Linked DNA regions of Daphnia pulex. The main gene of each other region encodes a partner of the protein of the gene in region 2 in a complex. Links are inferred from orthologs where the notes say so. Each region holds a gene or a part of one and is shown on either strand. Other genes may lie near its edges.

Region 1 (6,649 bases), on a different chromosome or scaffold from region 2:
TACTTACATTTCTTAGGTTTGAAAATTTGAAAAAAGAAGGAATTACTATTTTGGAAGGCAAAAGGTTAGCTGAGGCTTACGATAATCATTCTGTAACCATCACATCTGCAGAACTTGAGACTGAAATTGAGGATCTTGAGTCGGTTAAAGAAGCTTTAATTCTTCAAAAGCAAGTTTATGTAAACCAGCTGAACATCTACAAGTATGAAAGACTTATGCTTTGTAAACTTATCAGAATCTGCAATTATAACTTGATTTGATTTCAGTTCTAAAGGAAATATAATCAGCAGAAAAATTGCTGATCTTGACAGCTTGAATGCAGGCTTAGAAATAAAAAATGAAGTTCTTTTGTCAAAATTGAAGTGTACTGATGCAATGGCTAATGAAGTTTTGCAATCTGTTAATGGATTGTCATCACATGTTTTGGAGTTCTTGAATGAAGAAAAACTCTTGTGCCAAAATTCATTTAAAGAGTATTTGGCCTTTGAAGAAGAATGCACAGCCTGTTTGACTAATTACGCTAACAAACAATTTGAACAAGTCTGCATACCTAAAACATTAAAAAACTATGATTTATTAACGGTTAACTTTATTTACAGAAAATGGGGCATATGGGACAAAATTCTGGATTGGAAATGTGTGCTTTCTTACAAATTGGACAGAGCAATTTTAGAGTTCTCTTAGGGCTTGATGAGAAGGCAAGATACACACAAAACTGGGAATTAAATTGCTTGCAGCTACAGTAAGATAATGCAATTTTCAAAACTCCATACAACAGTTCTTATATATACTCTCAACTTTAGGTTGCCATTGGCTGAGGAAGACAGGACTGTAAATGAAACAGAGGTTTCATCACTAACCACAGCTATAGGTATTAGTTACCAAATTCTTACTACACTAGTTGATGGAAAATTTACTTTAAACCATGTTGATAGGTATTTTTTTTAACTGTAAAAAAAACTGAACATTTTAACAATGGGCTTATTTATCACAACTATATCAATCTTAAACTTTTTAGAGAATACCAGAATTCTTTGGACTTCAAAAGTCTGGTTTACTCAAAAGAATTAGCATCATTGAAGAACTGTGTTAAAAATGCAATTTCTAAAGCCACACAGTTACGCTGTTCTTCTATAATCGTCGGAGACTGTAGCTTAAAACTATTGAGGCAAGATTTTTTTATTGCCAAGCAGAAAGAGTTTCTTTCACTGCTGGTTCAACAATGGGCTAGAGAGCAGTTAGTACTACTTGCTGTAAGGTTTGAAGGCCGACAATTAGAAACATTGCTATCTACCTTAAAACACATTTCTCAGTATCTTCTTGAATCTGATCATCAACTTGTTGAAAGACTTGTAAGTAATATTTCACATGTGTGTTCTTTTTTGGGATCCCTTTTTTGTCCTTATATTTTAGGCTTTAAATGTTTCATTCATATTTAGGTTTCATTGAAACAGTTTGTTGATCTAGAAAAAAGCCTTCACAATAGAAACACAATTCCTAGACATGATGAAGCATCATGCTCAATGAAAACTATATTGGGTCTCCAATACAAACAGGAATGCAGGCAAGACCCTTGGGACTACTCAGAACTAATTAACTTGGCTGTTATTTTGAAAAATCATTTAGAAGAAGCCAAGTCAAATTTAGGGCAACTGAGTAGAATTGTCATAAATCAACAAAAATGCCTGTAAGGATTTTGTCATCTTTGTCTTACGTTTGGTTATTTACATTTATTTGTGTATTCATAGAGAGCAGCTGGTTTTTAAGTTGGAAGAATTGCTCTTCGGGTTTCCGCTAACGTCTAAGACGCAGAAACCTTCTAATCTACAATTTCTTGATGAAAGAATTGATACTTTGAATGTTGTAAGACGAGACGTTCAAAGTCAGTTGAAACCCTTGAACAGAAAATTCAAAACTAAACAGGTCGTTTTCAAAACTGATCATCTGAACGTACTAGAACGTAGATTATGGACGCTTTTTTACACTGATGTCACATCAATGGTTCATAGAACAAACGCTTTGAATATTAAAATAATTCCCATGTAAAAATTGTATTTCTTTTTCATACTACACAATATCAATGTACCATTTGTTCATCCATTGCTTTGGCCATCCAGTCAGGTGCTACACTAGCAATCTTCTCTATAATATTATTCACTTGATAACACAGTGACTGAATTGAACGATCCCAGGCCGGTAAGACATCACGACCTAAAATTAATCAACATTACATATTTACATTACTGTACTGTAGACAATAAATATCAACTTACTTTCGAAGTGCACGATCGAATCTATCTGATCAATTGAACCGTTCATTCGACCTTCAGTTATCATTTGTGATGCAATTTTCTCAGCTCGAAGAGGATCCACTTCTAACAAAGCTCCCAGTTCCATGAAAGTAATGTTGTTGTACAGTTTACTCGCAGCCAAAAGGTTATGTTCTGTAACAGCACGCTCGAGAATTGAAGAACCTTAAAATAATAATAAAGTGACAGTTTTCAATGAATCAGATGATATAATTACCATCCGCTGTCTTAGCCTTCTGATGAGGTTGCAGGAGTGAATCGAGCTGAACAAGTTCTTTTCGCCTTATAATACGATCGAGATACATTTTCTCCAGAATGCAGTACGCTTGCAACTGTTGACAACGCTCATCCTTAAACAAAGTTGCAAGCATTCTGCTTCTCTGTTGTCCCGCCGATGCTAATATTGTACATATTAATGCATTTCTTAAAGCCGTCATTCGTTCATCGTCATGGATTATGCTTCGGTAAGAGAGCTCATTGTAGCGCTGGGCTGCTTCAATGAATTTACGACGATAATCCAATACTCGAGCATAGCAAACTTTATAATAAACCTGTAGCTGTTCATTTTTTGACTCGGCCTATTTAAATAAATAACAATCTTTAAGCATATTATTTGTTACAGTTAATACAGCTGAATTAATAGTGTTCTCTAAAACCCACAGAAAAGTTATAATACAGTTAACATAAAGAAACTGATTTTTAAATTGCTTATACCTGTAGCAGAGAAGCCCGATTGATAAATGATTCAGCTTGCACTGGGTCATCATCTTCTAAGTAGAGGCGTGCTATTTTCAAGTAAGTCTCCAGTTTGTAGTCCAAGGAGTACTGTCTACAATGTTTGACTTGACAGTGAAATTATCATTTACACAAGTAAATACTAATTGAAAAATTTACTTTTGCCCAGTTTCCAAGGGTATTCCAACTAAGACATTAGCAGCTTCCTTCCAACATTGCTCTCTTTCAAAGATATCTGCCAAATGCTGACGAATGGATGCTACTTGCTCTTCAAAAGATATCACTCGTGGCTGGATTTTCCCTAGAGCAAAACTGCACACAGATTTTCCCATGTCATCTGTCAACTTTGGAACATGACAACTTATTTCAGACAAAATCTGGCGACTAATAACAAGTGAAACATTCTCATGAACAATTGTTTCAATTAAAGCCTTTAAGCCCTCAACGAGTCCTTCACTATCATCTTGGTTCAATATACTTTCTAAGATTAAGCGAAACTTTTCCGCCTGATCCTTATGGAATCCACCTAGGAGAAAATTCGTGAAAATTACACACCTATATATTTACACACACATGCACACATACATATATATAATTGTTAATCATATGAAATTTTTTTTACCGGAATTCACAAGTGCAGCCAATTGCTGTTTATAGTTGTACATTTTTAGTTTTAACTGAAAAATACTATTAGAACCACAGACTACGAAGTACAATAGTCAGGGAGCCCGTGTCAAAGTAGACACAAACCTTTTAAGAGAAGGTTTGACTATCAACTTTGGTTTAGGAGGGTGGGAGAACCGCGAGATGGCGCGTCTGACGATTCAGACCGGCCGGGTTCGAGAGTTATTCACTCCCGAAGTCGGCGTGATTTGGGGAAAATCACAAACTGTTTAAGAGAAAAAATTTTTCAATCGTAATTTAAAAAAAAATACACTGATTCTAACGTCAGGTCGCCAGACGTTAGAATCTGCCGTTTTGAACAAATCAGACGCAGTCAAAGTTTCACTTTTTTGTGAAATTTCACATTTCATTTAAGAAATGTATTTTTTTTTGCATAAAATAGCTGCAAGTGAATTAGATTAAAACGTAATACGTACCTCTTTGTCTTCTGTTCCTCGAAATATCGAGACAAAATTTGTATTGGCAATTTATTTCACATCAAGCATGCGTATATCCATTTATTAACATCATGCGAAACAAATCATAAAAAGTAACCAAAACGCGCATTAGTCGCAGCGTGACAGAATATTTAGCACAGGTAATAAGGGTGCATTTAAAAAAAATATTTATTATGGGCTAGGAAAGAGCCTTTATTATTCTAGAAGCAGTAAATGGTTTAAATTTTTTTGTATTTCGGACAAGCCAACTAATGAAATGAGACATGAAAAACTACATGTAAAATTTGCCTGTATCATTTTTCGAATCATAATGGTTCGGACACGATAATTTCGATCGAGGGGACAAATTTCCAAACATGTTGTTCATTAGTTGAATCATACGGAAGATTAGATTTCGATTCTCTATTTTGAGTCGAAATTTTGAGTGAGCAGACAACATCCAGCTTGTAAGTCCCCGGTGTAAAAAAAATTATGCCACAACAATGTTTGTAGTTACTGTTTGGCTCCATCTTTTTAAAGAAAGCAAAACAGAAACAGATAAGACATTTTGATACTAAAGGAGCATATAAGGAAAATAAATACCTTTTCTAGCACAGCATGATCTGATCCAATTGTAAGCAGGCGTGTGTCTAATCGCCGATGAAACGTGCCATTTTGCAGATCTTGATATACCGATATTTGAAGATTCAGCGGACCCAAAAATTTACTTAATGCATTGAATAAACCGACTGTTACATTTAATACATCTCCCACTACACATATAAATTCGGTTCTTTCAGCTGACCATATTTCATTGTTTAGTTCCACCTCCAGCTGAATTGGAGGAATATGTAGAAGATCCAGCATAGATGGAGCTATGCGCAGGCCACTCAACGAAGCTTTGCCTTTTATTACTTTAGTCGAGTTTTGTTCAATGTTTTCATTGATAGAAGTACAAGTTTGATTGACGCCAGATAAGCTCCACTTTAGCTCAACTAAGGAGGAAATATGTTCGCTGCAAATCCTGGCAATCTTTTCAAGTTGCTGTTCTGGACTCAGGTCCTTTTCAGTGTAAACATGGGTTAGCTTGACCAATGGACATCGTTCAACAGGTACTGGAATACGACACGTATCAAGCGCTTCTATGGCAATGTGTTTGCAACTGCTATACTGTAGCTCCATTTCTGCAAGTATAAGAATTTGTAACGTTAAATTTTAATCTATGCTACTTAATGTTAAGCTGATGAGAGAAATAATGTTTTAAAAAAATCATTACTACTCTCATTCTCATATGCATTCCAAGAATTTATTACACAGATGCTATAAAAAATAAACTCGTGCATCCGAGACGATGCAACGCCATCCAGAAAAACTATTTTAAATATGGTGTATCGAAACGGCGGTGAAATTTCAACCAGCGTGTGTATCGTTGAAATAAAAGCGAAGATCAAATAAATTTACTTATCGTCCAACTACGGCGGACAGAATGATAATAGCATGTGTTTTACTTTCATCGCGGGCAGTCAATCTATTATTCTTGAAATGTTTAAACTATATTAATACCTAGCAAAGAAAAGAATATTGCGTTACCGTGTTGGGTTGCGTTCAGAATGTCGAGTACTAGGTAACAGTGCGAAGGAGTTTCTGCAGGCAGCACATCCCACTTTGTAATAATGACTGATGGCAAAATTTCAACCGTTAAACCGACGCCATTTGATCGGCAAAATCCTGCAATATATCCAGGTCCTCCAGAATACTGAAGCTTAAGTAGAACTGCAACGGTGCGAGGAACAACATGGTTGTTGCCCTGACATTCAATAATACGAAGGTTGCTACTTCCTCCGGATCTGACACTAGATGTTCCTGAACGAACTGATACTAGTGATTCAGCTCGCTTAGCTTTATTCCTTGGGGAACAAGTAACTGTGGTATGATTACTTAATCGCGAAAATATTGATGGTGGACCTAGATCACATAAAATACGATAGTCAACCCTATTTTTGCTATCTATAATGAATACGAATGATACCTGATAAGCTTGGGAGACTGTTAGAGTCATCCCCCGAATGAAGATTTGAGAGATAATCAGTGATAGCTGGTAAAATAAAATCACTCGCGCCTTGGACGTAAACAGTGACACTTACGGCTGTACCAGATTGCCATGGAAGCTGAGCCTTTAAATTATCTACACTGAAGACCGTAAATGAAGAATAAAATAATTGGGCAGGTATTCAAACAACTTAAAAAAAAAGAAAAAGAAAGTTATATTTTACAAAGCTTACCTTACACTGAAGACTTGACTGGAAGATAACTTGTTACCATGAACTAATTCCAAATCAAAAGATTCGACCGATACGCTGCTCGTATTAACCAAAGTTAGATTACACTCCGTACTCTGGCCAGCATACAACTGTACTGAACTAGTCGTTGCTACAGATTGAGATTCAGATATGGTCATTAAAGTACTACAAAAATTTATGGAAACAATTAGTATTTAGTTTAGAA
Region 2 (6,782 bases):
AGATTGCTTCAGCTGTGCCAGGTATTTATTGCAAGCCGATATCATGCTTTTAATCGCTTCCAGAGACGTTTTAGTGTCTATGTTATCGCAGAGAGCTTCCCGTACTCGATTTTTCGTTTCGACGAATCGGGTGTTGACTTCCTGCTCAGCTGTGCTCCATTTTTGAAAATATTCTGCGGCAGTATTCGATGACGGGCCATTCCTCAAAAGATCCTTGGCATTTAAGAAGAATTCCCTTAGCATTTTTTCGTAACTCGATGCTTCATCCATTGCACTGTCACTATAGTCGAGTGTTTCTTTCCATGGGTGAAGCAAGAAAAAGATGCGCAATTCGCGGCTGCTATTTCTACTCAACGCATCTTGTATGGTGATGAAATTCTTGAGGGATTTAGACATTTTACAACCCTGTAGAATAATGTCCATTATAGTTTTCTATTGGGTGGAAGAACGGAAAAAGTTTACGGAAGTTTGTATAGTACCTGGATGGTCAGATGACCAGTATGAAGGAAATAGCGAACCCATTCATCATTATCGTAGTAGGCTTCAGATTGGGCTAGTTCATTGTCGTGATGAGGGAACTTTAGGTCGACGCCTCCTGTGTGAATATCCATTGATGACCCTAGAATTGCACTTGCCATCACACTGCATTCAATATGCCACCCAGGACGTCCTGAATAGAATAAAATAAAATAAAATAATTTAATTATTAATTCATTACGTTGGTTCGACATTTTTTAGTTGAATTTTACCTTTCCCCCAAGGAGAATCCCAGGAAGGTTCACCACTCTTTGAAGTTTTCCATAGCGCAAAATCGTTAGGTGATTTTTTCTCACTTAACCGATCTTCAGAGACACTTAGATCACCTTCTCCTTCTTGCAATGCCTTTGAGTCACCGTAAGCTTCAGGTACCAATTTCGCATACTTGTGATTCTTTTGCGAATCGAACTTTGAGACATTGAAGTATACAGAGCCATTTGCTATACAATGACAAAAGAGTCATTAACCGTGACGAGATAATAGAAAAAAAGAGATAAAAACTCACCTGAATATGCAAGTCCACGTTCAATGATTCGTGAGATGTAATCCACGATCTCCGGGACATATTCGCTAACACGCGTAATAACATCGGCTGGTAGAACATTGAGAGCGGCCATATCTTTGTAAAACTCTTCTTCCCAATGTCGCGGAAGAGACGCGAAAATTGCGTTATCTGAAACATCCATGCCGTGCTTCGAGTCGAGCCAATCGCTCAAGACGTCTTTGGCTTCAGCCAACAAAAAGCTCTTTGCTTCGGATAATCCTTGACCAAGCTTGATTGTTTCGGTGAATTTTTCAATCGCGGCAGTGACTTTGGCCAACATCTTCTCCTGCATAACTTTCTTGTCGGGATCGGTGGTTACTGCCATTTGCTTAGAAAGACGATCAACAGATTCCTTGACATCTGTTTGAAGAGTTTCAAGTTCACTCATCTCAGTTGCATACTTTTCATATAAATAATTTTGCCTTGCTCTTTTAATAATTTTGTCGTCAATATCAGTGATATTCATTACATAAGTAATGTCATATCCAAAGTAGTCTCTTAAGACCCTTCTCAGGATATCAAAAGACATGTATGAACGGGCATGTCCCATGTGGGATGCATCATAGACTGTTGGTCCGCAAGAATACCAGGTGATATTTTTCCCATTCTGAGGAGTAAACACCTCCTTCTTACGAGTCAGACTATTGTAAATCTTCAGCTCCATGCTGCTGTTGTTTAAGGGGGCTTCAGACATAATAGGTGAACAAGGTACAACCAATTTCTCAATGTGTTCCAAAAATTATTATTTATCCCTTCGAAACTTCTCACTCTGTAAGTAAAATCTAGTCATTAATATTTTGAAATGTCTGATGCAATAGTTAAAATGTCTTACTTACTTCTATCTTCTACCTAAATTGCCAACCACTCCAACTATTATATATTTTTGCGATTTGCACGTTAACAGATTTGTGAATGTCACCAGTTAACTTTAACGTTATAAGGAAGTTAACAATTAATAAATTTGAAAAATAAATGCTGGTTCGAATGATAACGATCAAATGAATCCGAAACCGGTGCGTACCTTTGACGGTGTATTCGGTTTGTTTCTTCCAACACCGCAACACGTCAAGTTAGATAGAAATTGCGAGTGAGCCGATAACAGCGATAACAAATGTGGTGATCTTTTATGCTGCAATTTTAAAAGGTAGTAATTTTTTTAATAATAATTTTAAAAAATCAAGAACTGGTTTTAGAAAATTTTGGAAAGCGTGAAAGTGTTGAAACAAAGAATTAAAAAAAAAAAAAAATCGTTGATTTATCTGTAGGGGAACACGGTGGCAATGTCGCCATTACAGACGAACTTCTGTACCGGGATCGTGAGCGTGGCCTATATCCGGATTTTTTTGACAAGCAACTTCTAATAAAGGAATCTTTTTTTCCAGTTTGTTTTGAACAATTTATCAGGATGAGTTTACCAGCATTTATCGATTTAACGGTCGAAGAACAGGTTAGTTTCCCCATAAATTTAGTCCGGTAGATGCTAAACTGTTGTGGCGATGAAGTGTGGAGTCTGCCAGTAGCGTACACCTTTCTGTGTTATAGACAATTTTCCCTACTAGTATTTCTAATTTTTATACCTGTTTTACCACCTGGAGAAAGCAAATAACTGTTATATAGTACTGAGACAAAATTTAAGACATCAAGGCTTTGAATTGGTCATTGTATTCATATCTGTCTTTTTAGGCTACTGAATTGTGTAGCTATTTCAAGGCTCTTGGAGCATCAAATGTGGATGATGATCAAAACTCAGATCTTAGCAACATTGTTGCTGTTGCAGATCTCTGTTTCAAAGTAAGTGACAATTTTATTTCAATTAGTAGTGTGTGTTTACACTATTTTCTTCTTTGAAGGAGGGCAATGAAGTGGAATCTGAGGGAGTCTTGAATAGCATTGTATCTATGCTCGTTCTTCTCCCCAATGAAAAAGCTGAACCAATAATTACTACGTTTTGCCAAAAGCTTGCAAAACCCCCCTCAAACAAGTTGGGACTTGTTTGTCTGAGAGTGTGAGCATTTGAAATTTGAAGTTTACATAATGAATTGTCTAACTATAATTTTGATTCTTTAGTCTGTCTGTACTATTTCATGGGCTTGATCCTGTGAGTACAACGCGTTACACGGTCTATCACACGCTAGTCCAAGTTGCTGGACAAGTGGAACAGATGAAGACAGTGTTCACGGATCTAGATAAAATGCGTACTCAACTAGGGCCATGCAAACCTAACAACGAGCAGATGCAAAAACTCCTCCGAAGTTTACATGAAGCTCTCCTCAACTCCAGAGAAAGGTAAAGTATTGAAGTTAAACAAATAATTGTAACAATAAATCAAACCAGTGTTATTATTCAGTGAACTGGCCTCCAAAGTGATGGTGGAGTTGTTGAGCACTTACACGACCGAAAATGCTTCACAGGCTCGTGAGGAAGCTCAACGCTGCATTGTTGCTTCATTGGCTGATCCCAACACTTTCCTTCTCGATCATTTATTGACTTTGCAACCTGTGAAAGGTTTATAAAAATTACTTTGAAGTTAAATCAGTTATTAATTAATTTTTGTGTACAGTTTTGGAAGGTGCCCTTTTGCACGATCTGTTGACCGTATTCGTGACGGAAAAGCTGTCAGCTTATTTGAAGTTTTATGAGGAAAAGAAAGATTTTGTTGAAGGACTAGGTATTTACTGGAAATTTTTAAGTATTTTTTTAAGAATTTTAAGTAACAATGATTTTTAGGTCTGAAACATGAGCAGAACCTTCGAAAAATGCGAATTTTGACTTTCATGCAGTTGGCTGAAAATTCCGTAGAGCTCCCTTTCGAAACGCTCGAGAAGCAATTACAACTAACCGAAGATCAAGTAGAGGAATTTGTCCTTCAAGTCCTTAAGACGAAATTGGTGCGCGCACGAATGGATCAGTTGAACAAGAAAGTGCTTGTTTCATCAACCATGCATCGGACATTCGGCAAGCAGCACTGGCAGCAGTTGCGTGAGTTGCTGACTACTTGGCGAGGCCACCTCAGACAGGTCAAAGATTCCATGCTAACCATCGTTAACGAGCAAGCCGAACTTCTCGCTCAGCAATCCTGAACCGATTAGAGAAGAAACAAAAGACTTCAAATTATCCCGCTATCCATCTCTATTAAGGTTTTGTGGAAATAAACGATGACGCCGGCACATTATCTGACAAAATCAGACTTTGATCATTATTTCTGTTTTGTTTCCAACATACTGTTGTTTGAAAGTAGGGTAGGAGATAAAAAAAAAATTCTTTTTTTATTATGCTTATTATATGCAACGTGTAAACGTGAGTTAATTCAGGTAGTCTGATTTTTGGCCGGCAGATGTCTCTTTTTCTCACGTGTTGTCTTTTGAAGATCCACACATTTTTGTTTCAGTAGTTGAGAAAAATCTTTTATTTATTACTCAGAATTTTTGGTGAAAATGTCTGTCTATCACGATGAAGTTGAAATCGAAGATTTTGAATATGATTCGGACAGTGAAATTTACTTCTATCCTTGCCCTTGTGGAGATCGGTTTGAAATCACCAAAGTAATGTGACGTCCCCATTCCTTACTCAGATTCCAAGCTTATTAAAAGGTTTACTTTTATTTCAACAGGAACAGCTAGAAAATGGGGAAGAGGAAGCCACATGTCCGAGTTGTTCACTTATAGTAAAAGTAATATACAACAAGGTATGTATATGAGCAAGTGGAAGTTCTGGAAGCAACTGGCTTTCAGCCTGTATAGCATTACACAATATGTCTAATATTTAGTTTTAAAATTTACTTACATTCATGAATGACATATTTATTTAAACATACAGGAAGAATTCATGCAGAGCGAGGAAATCACGTATTCATCCCCAAATAAGAAAGAGTCACTCACAACATAAACTAGTTATTTTAGTATACTTAAGTAGGATTGAATAATTTTCAGAAATTGCATTTTTTTGTGTATTAAATTTTGTCCATTCTAAAATTTGCCATGAAGAATCACAAATGAATCTTGTCATTTATCATTCTTATTGCTTCTTTCACGATTGATCTGTCCAATTGAGCTTGTGATCAATCCTCTACTGTTAGGATCTTCTTTATTCATTTCCTTTTGCTTTTCTTCTATGTCTTTCATGAACAACTTCCTAAAATGAAAAACAATATTCAAATATCTCCTTTGCTGGAATGAAATTGAGATTTATCAGTTCTGTACTGAGCAAGTCTTTCAATGTCTCACCGATATTGAAACCCCATGTAGAATGTTCCCAAAATGAATCCTTATGAAGAAAACAATTTTTAACCAATTACTATTCAATGGCTTTGTAATTAAATTTACCAAAAACGATTGGAAATCGAAGAAAAGCAGCTCGACTCCTTGACGAATTTTTCATTTTCATCAGTACCTACAATGTATACTGTATACAATTATGGGTAGATTGTTATTATGAAGTAGTTTTTGATCATGGTCGTGGTCGACCATTTGGAGTAGAATGATCTGTGCGGCATCTAGCGAGGACTTCCTAACTTGAAATTTTACGAAGGTCTCGGGAATTTTCAATCGAATTAATTGAACGTTATTTAATGAACGTTTACGTTTCGGGAATTAATAACTATTACTGATATAGTGATTAATGTTAGAAGTTAAATGAAATTAAACTATGTTTAAAATAACCATTAGCTTAAGAGAGGTTGACTTTGATTACCATTACCATGAAATAAGAATTTTATCACACTGTAGGATGATGATGATAAACTTAAGAGAATGTGTCAATGTGACAATTTCTTTCCACTTGTATTGTAACTACTAGGATCAAAGGAAATAGTTAGCCATGTTATGTTATGTTCTTTTGCTCATCAGTTTCAATATTCTCTATTGGTTCTATGCTGAATTTAGTTTCTCTGCTGCTAGTTTTAAACATTTTGAATTTGCCTTCTTTTGCAAGTTCCTTCATCAAGTCATTATACATTTGTTCCTATTGTTAAGAGAAATGATTAAATATGATAAATTTGGTACAGTACTATTATGAATTTTCCATTACCACTTTTTTCTCATCTTTTGAAACATTTGAGATGGATGCTTTAACAAAATGGCCCTTAGAAAGCCATTTCCTTATATTGTTTAATTTTGCATCCAAGTCATGCTTTTCAATTTTATCTTTAAATGTAATCATCTTGGGAGACTTCTTCTTAAGTTTGGCAAATCCTATCAAACAAAGCACTCAATTTTCATCTGACCAGTATGTAATTGAACTTCTTTAATGTTTACACCTGAATACCTTCATCATGGAGTTGGGAATCAATTGAAGAAGAATAACGACGAATTAATTCCAACGAACCTAACTGGATAGTATTTACTTTTGCGTGGGGGCGAAATTGATTTTTAGCTGCAAGCAAGGTAAACCTTCGAGCTTGGCTTATAACTCGACTCATGGTTAGAATTGCATCACATACAGGGACAGTCGTTCATATTTAAACTGACCTCGATATTCGAGCAATAAAAGTATAAAATCTTTAGCAACAACCAAATGGCAAATACAAACTTAAAGTATCAAAAATAATTTTCTACTCGTTAATCGACTTGTTTTGAAAAACAAACGTCTGCTATATGGAACGCCAAAGTGACGCAAAATTAACTGCTTGAAATTTACTGCAATTCACCACCGCCGTCTAGCGGGCGGACCGAAAATCGTCGTTTCTCTGCCTCTTTTGGGGAGG
Region 3 (6,032 bases), on a different chromosome or scaffold from region 2:
GATGTGACCGAGTTTTAGATCTCTTTCAGAAATAATGTATGAATTCCGATTATACTCAACCGATATATTATCCTAGACTTCGTACTGACTTCATAGTCGGTGATACTATACAAAACATGTTATTCCATAAATAGAAAATGTGGTTAGGATTAACATTTAACATTGACATTAATTGTACATACTGATAGTCTTCAAAAGGGTTAACCGCTTTTACTTCTTAAACGATATACGTGTGTGTTTTCTGAATTAGTGTGCCAACTTTATTATGCTTAAATGACAAATGTTTCTGTGGACTGTGTATAAAAGATAATCGAGTTGCCATTATTATGCAGCAGACAAGAAATGCTGCATATTTTTCTCTCCCGTATATTTGGTAATATAGCCACCGATAGTATAACAAAGTTTAAATTGAATAATTGAGAAAATATCTGATATCATCTTATATTAGCTTATATTTCGAATACGAAGTAGGTTTAATTTTTTGTTTATTTTATTCTAAATTCTAATAAAACTGTGAACATAATGATCTCAAAAATTTGATAATTTTATCACTCAAATTGATTCGCCCAAACGAAATTACAAATCTAAAATAAGGTGGTTCATCGCGTTCATCTATAATCTATAAAGCTATTTAGCAGATGTGAAGTCAGTCATTCTTACATCATTTTCATTTGGTGGGGAAAAGAGCGCATGAAAACAGGGAGTATATTCAGGGGTATGGAGAGGTGGTTCCCAATGACAGTGTTCTGAAAAAATGATCCGCCTTCTAATAATATGTCCAATGTCACACCCAACAAACCGATTCCACGGAAGTTGAACGATTACTTTGACGCAATCGCATCGGATTCGGATTGATGCACATGCTAGTGAAGGAAACAAATTTGGTGTGGGAAAATAATCGTAAACAAATATATACATTTCTAGCGTTTAGTAATCTAGTCGCTCGTGTGTTTCGCCCGTTCCTTGCTATTTATAATCGCCCAATGGTTCATCATATTTTTTTAATATGTTAACTTAGACTTTATAATAATCAGTGCTTCATTGTAAGAAAAAAGTGAACGAAAATCATCAACATTACCGGAAGTTTGCAAATACACGTTTTTAAACCGTTACTTTTTGCAAAATATCGGCAAAATATAACGGCAAATCCTTTGTTCAAGAGCCCAACAAATGCAGTGGGTCCTTATAGAAGTGAAACTTTTTTGCTCGAATGCCGATTATATAGGTTGAAAATGGATCGATATTGCCCAACCTCAACGATATTTGCTTTCCTAGTACTTTTTAAAGGACAGTAAACATGATCAAATATACCGTATAGTTCTAAGATATAAGGCTTATTAGGACCTTGGTTCTACTTTTTCTTCAAGGCTATGGTGGCATACTCAGGCGTACATATCGTCAGCGTAATCGATTTACTCTTTCTATTTAACTGACCTTGTATTCCTTCATAAAAAACGTCAGCATATTATCATGTGATGTGCTAGATGTTGTTTTGGGCAAAACAAATCCGAGAACAGATATTTATTTTTGATAGGTCCAATCAGAGCCTTGGATTTTTATCAACCATGCATCAAGGTTAATACGATCAATCTTCCAAAGTGTTAAATGCGGTTAAATGAATACTCTTCTAAACGACACGGCGGGAACTAGAAGCTATTCGGCAGGCTAAATGCAACTGAAAAGTGTCAAATCGCTATCAAGATTGTGTGAATATGTAATTTTGCACAATATGAAATTGTTTCTAAGTGAATCGGATATTGTTGCCCTTATGGATAACGAACTGGATTTAGAAAACAACACAAATAATCCATTTGATCAGTTACGTAAGTATAACGACGGACTAATATTTATAGGTTTTACATTTTACTGCTCAATCTCAAAGCCAACCCATGAAAGGCCATGATACTATTATTTTTGTCTTTATTCTTTTTTTTTTCACCAGCTTCAAATGTTGTGGACGGTTTTCTCAACTTTACTTGTAAAAGTATTTTCGTATTTCTCGTCGGAGACCAATACCGGCCAAGAGCTATTGAATACCTTCCCCTTTTAATAACACCACACCTTACTGAATTAGAAATACCATTTATGGCTGGTGGAAAACTTGATCAAAGGAAAAAAGATACACATTACATTCTTCGACTGGCTTCAGTAAGAAGCAAAGTAAGTAGAGTTTGTATCTAAATTACATTAAGATTTAAACATGCGTTCTCTTTACGAAAAAATAAGATTGTTCTTAAAGACACCTACTTTTCTGACTTATATAGCAGCTGAAAATATTGCGGATGCGGTTGATGTTTAATTATGATTCTGCATTTCCATTTCATATTAATCTGATATGCAAGTTTTCAAAACTACAAGTTTTGGATGTATCTACTGATGTCAGCTTGTCCAAATTATCTCGGTTTCCTTCAGCACAGGATGCATTTTTGCATCTTCTTGGGCAACATTGTACAGAATTAAGGTAAAAAAAAAACTTATTACAGCATCGTGGATAATTTATGAAATTGATTTATTCTAAAATTAAATAATATTCAGGATACTAAGCGCAAGATACCATCCCATCACAGACGCTGGAATTAGAGGACTGTGCGTGATTGGAAATTGCAGATCCATTCGCTTACTTAATTTCTACGGTTGCAAAGCAATAACCAATCAAGGCATTAAAACTGCTTTTAATAATCTGCCTTTCTTGAAAATACTTTGGAATGAGGCAACCATTGACGGTTTGGCTGAAATAGCTCAAAATGCTGCAGATCAAGGGCTACCTATTCCTAAATACGCGTTGCTTGCCCTATATATTTTGAAAAATACAGTATACAAAGCTGGTAGTCTTGAAAAATCGGTGCTCCTCTGTCCTTACATTACAAAAGTGGACATGACATTGATGTGTGATGGAATCGTAAAAGACGCGGATCTCGTTAGTTTACTTTCCCTTAAAAGCCTCTACATCCTTGAAATCGATCAAAGAAAGCCTTTAAACTTTAATGAAGTTACTTTTAGATATTCTGGAGGTATCACTTTTGAAGGAGGAGTTCTTCCCCTTCTCAAAAAATTTGGGAATTCCTTGACAAAATTAGAACTTGACGTTTTCTTCCTTGACTTAGACATTTTAACCATAATGCAATTTTGCCACAAGCTTCAATACCTTTGCCTTCATATGCGCAGCAAATTTGATCGTTGGCCTAAAGAAGAAGAACAAAAATCGGGAAATAAAAGGGAAATTCCTATCTTAAAACATCTGGAAGAATTGATGTTATGTTCTGATGATTCGCTTCATTCCTTTGTCCCCGCAGAAATTGTGTTAATCTTATTGTCTTCTCCGTTACTATCATTCATTTCCATAAAACTTTTGAATAACCTAACTGACAAAATCATACGAAAAGCAACGCATGTCAATTCCTTTCGTCATCTTGAGAGATTGTGGTTAACTCACTGTAACGAAGTAACTAAATACGGTGTGAACCTTTTTTTACAACAGAATATCCCTCTAAAGAAACTGATTTTGGAACGTTGCGATAAGATAACGTTTGAAGATTCCATCGAATGGGAAGAAACTTTGACCAAGAACAATTGGGAACTTGAATTAGAAATACGTCACCCTTACTAATTATTAGTTAAAAAAATAAAAAGGTACAATGTAATACATTTTTTATGATAAAACCACTCAATTACCGCCGGTAATTAGCCTAATATCGGTAATTTACCGGTACTGTTTTTTTTTAATTATTCTTGAGTAACAACACGAGGAAATCTCATATGTTCTCTCTCGGTATCTTATAAAGGTGGCATTTTGATGTTTGCTCGGAATTCCTCGGGGAAATAGGGTTCATAGAGCATGTTTGAGCAACCATTATTAAAATTAGTTACTGATGGCAGCAAGTAACAGTTATTAGTTTTTATTTTTTGTCGTCTTTTTTAATCATTTGAATTTTGACCATCGCCTAATCTGCTAAGTGCTAAGTGTACCGTGAAAATATCTTCTGTCAAAGATTTTTCAAAGATTTAAATGTCAGCTACATCTTCAACTTTTAAAATTGGCGGAAATTCGAATCACTTTCATTGGTTGAAAGAAGCTCCACAGCTCCACCCGCTCCACCTACCAAGGAGCGGAGTTATTTTCCGACTGAGGGGTTTATGAGGGTTTTCGCCCTAAATTATAGCTCAAAAAAAAATCGTTCTATTTGTTTCATTCTCGACTTTTATCGCAGAGTGAAAATGGAAAGTTTCCACTCCTTCACTTAGCTGATAATGCTTTAAATGGCAACAGAGCCTCTTAGGCCGAAAGCGTCTGCTAAAGCCACATTTCCGTCATCCGTCAAAGTCTAGTTACTGATTGTTAACAATTTCAATAACAGTTCATTATAATGGCCGAAAAGATGAAAACAGAAATCGCTTCTATGCTACAAGGAATTGAAAGGTAAGAGAAAATAATCTGAAAAAGTTAACCCCATCTGCATAGTTGAGGAACACTGTAATGAACAATGGCGGTTTGTTCTCTTATTTCTAGGTACAATCCCGACAATCTTCAGAAGCTAGAACGCTATGTTGAACTGCAAGCACAAGAAAATATGTATGACCTAGAGGCCAACCTAAGTGTGTTGCGATTGTACCAATTTGGCCCAAATTTCTACCGCAGTAACATTGTTAATCTGATCCTACTGAAGGCAATGACCAATTTACCTCACACAGACTTCTTGCTGTGCAAATGCCTTTTGACTCAAGATAGGGTATGTAATATGATTGTTTAATCTAATATATTTAATAGGAATTAATTTTTTTACTTTTCAGTTGGAAGAACCTCAAGTGAGCAGAGTAATGGTCCTAGCTGATTTGCTGGAAACGTGCAAATTCAAGCAGTTTTGGGAGGAATTGGCCAAATGTGGTGACCTAATTATTACTGTTCAAGGATTTGAAGATGCTATTAGGAAGTTTGTTGCTCATGTTGTCAACATTACCTATCAAACTATTGAAGTTCCGGTATTAAAAGAACTTCTTGGCAATGTCAACGGTAATGGCAATATTATCCATGTATTCCCTCTTAACATGGTTTTCGACATTTTAATTTTAAAAACCTCTCTTTTCAGATCAAGTTTTGAAACAATGGGTCGGGAAGTGCAGCTGGAAGGACCTGGGCAACGGCCGTGTGTTCATCACGTCGCAAGAAGATTTGGTCAAGACCAAAAACATCACTGAGAAGATCGAATTTGAAAACGTGGCTGGAATCATGTCACACTGCATTTAAAAGTGAAACTGTCTTTGACCGATCTGCAAACAGGAAGAAAGAAAAACCAACAAACAAACAATTCCAAGGGCAGTGTATTTCTGTTTTGTAACAGCTTCATATACACAATTGTCATGTTTGAATTTGATGATCGTTAAACCACCCAAGCAGTGAATCCCATCGCCGTATTTACACCCGGAATCTGTTTTCCTCTCAAGCAGCATCTAATTAAAAGTTCTGAAATTCGATTCTGCTTTGGCCGATATGGTGTGGGCATGTGCCTCTACATTGACAAGTGAATTGGTGGATGTTTTAAATGATTAGCGGGACATTGAAAAAACAAAGAAAAACCATTTTCATTCGCTTCAAAAACGGATGCTGAATCCGCGGAACTCGGGCCGTGCAAGGTATTCCCAATTGCGAAGCTCGGTGTGGTCGATCTTGCATCCGGGGCTACCTGTCCTCGTCAGCCATTGTGCCCTGTGGAGGAAAAAGGTTTGGAACAACAATTTTAATTATTTCTAGTAGTAGAACTCGTTAAACACACAGACGAATCCGCTTTGGCACCGAGCGCATGACGGGTCAGGAAGATTCTAAAAGTAGCTTGTTTCTCCTCGCTCTACAGAGGACGAGCCCAGCATAGTTAAGGTATTTAACGACGTGTCCTGCCCAAACCATGACTCGTGTGCCTTATCTAGAACCTCGAATGGGCTCGATGCCAATCGTCATTTCGTCGTTTAAATCGTTCGGAGCTGCTCCTGCTTCTGCACCCTACGTTCTAAATCTGTAAATTGCTATTTAAAACAATACG

What was found.
Region 1: eukaryotic translation initiation factor 3 subunit M-like (region 2) and COP9 signalosome complex subunit 4-like share a complex: the UniProt entries of both Caenorhabditis elegans proteins name them as parts of the CSN complex. The link is inferred for Daphnia pulex from reciprocal best matches to the Caenorhabditis elegans genes cif-1 and csn-4.
Region 3: eukaryotic translation initiation factor 3 subunit M-like (region 2) and eukaryotic translation initiation factor 3 subunit K-like share a complex: the UniProt entries of both Caenorhabditis elegans proteins name them as parts of the eukaryotic translation initiation factor 3 (eIF-3) complex. The link is inferred for Daphnia pulex from reciprocal best matches to the Caenorhabditis elegans genes cif-1 and eif-3.K.

The regions. Positions count from the first base shown.
Region 1 is NC_060024.1:7,064,475-7,071,123, reverse strand, and holds COP9 signalosome complex subunit 4-like, read right to left. Parts: upstream 3,858-6,649; 5' UTR 3,710-3,857; coding exon 3,667-3,709; intron 3,571-3,666; coding exon 3,204-3,570; intron 3,139-3,203; coding exon 3,024-3,138; intron 2,888-3,023; coding exon 2,527-2,887; intron 2,475-2,526; coding exon 2,274-2,474; intron 2,212-2,273; coding exon 2,078-2,211; 3' UTR 2,047-2,077; downstream 1-2,046. Other genes in the region: HAUS augmin-like complex subunit 3, read left to right, coding at 17-202, 267-540, 600-742, 804-935, 1,019-1,352, 1,440-1,687, 1,749-2,046; trafficking protein particle complex subunit 9-like, read right to left, coding at 4,471-4,674, 4,748-5,328, 5,735-6,109, 6,174-6,334, 6,427-6,609. UniProt on the Caenorhabditis elegans protein: Component of the COP9 signalosome complex (CSN), a complex involved in various cellular and developmental processes.
Region 2 is NC_060019.1:9,157,578-9,164,359, reverse strand, and holds eukaryotic translation initiation factor 3 subunit M-like, read left to right. Parts: upstream 1-2,347; 5' UTR 2,348-2,486; coding exon 2,487-2,528; intron 2,529-2,764; coding exon 2,765-2,872; intron 2,873-2,931; coding exon 2,932-3,086; intron 3,087-3,148; coding exon 3,149-3,367; intron 3,368-3,428; coding exon 3,429-3,586; intron 3,587-3,641; coding exon 3,642-3,749; intron 3,750-3,808; coding exon 3,809-4,161; 3' UTR 4,162-4,263; downstream 4,264-6,782. Other genes in the region: cysteine--tRNA ligase, cytoplasmic-like, read right to left, coding at 1-405, 480-670, 750-977, 1,043-1,775; DPH3 homolog, read left to right, coding at 4,516-4,623, 4,692-4,766, 4,898-4,966. UniProt on the Caenorhabditis elegans protein: Component of the eukaryotic translation initiation factor 3 (eIF-3) complex, which is involved in protein synthesis of a specialized repertoire of mRNAs and, together with other initiation factors, stimulates binding of mRNA and methionyl-tRNAi to the 40S ribosome.
Region 3 is NC_060028.1:2,216,412-2,222,443, reverse strand, and holds eukaryotic translation initiation factor 3 subunit K-like, read left to right. Parts: upstream 1-4,255; 5' UTR 4,256-4,364; coding exon 4,365-4,417; intron 4,418-4,507; coding exon 4,508-4,727; intron 4,728-4,788; coding exon 4,789-5,008; intron 5,009-5,084; coding exon 5,085-5,242; 3' UTR 5,243-5,364; downstream 5,365-6,032. Other genes in the region: uncharacterized protein LOC124209413, read left to right, coding at 1,670-1,823, 1,943-2,160, 2,265-2,461, 2,536-3,607; acylphosphatase-2-like, read right to left, coding at 5,587-5,701. UniProt on the Caenorhabditis elegans protein: Component of the eukaryotic translation initiation factor 3 (eIF-3) complex, which is involved in protein synthesis of a specialized repertoire of mRNAs and, together with other initiation factors, stimulates binding of mRNA and methionyl-tRNAi to the 40S ribosome.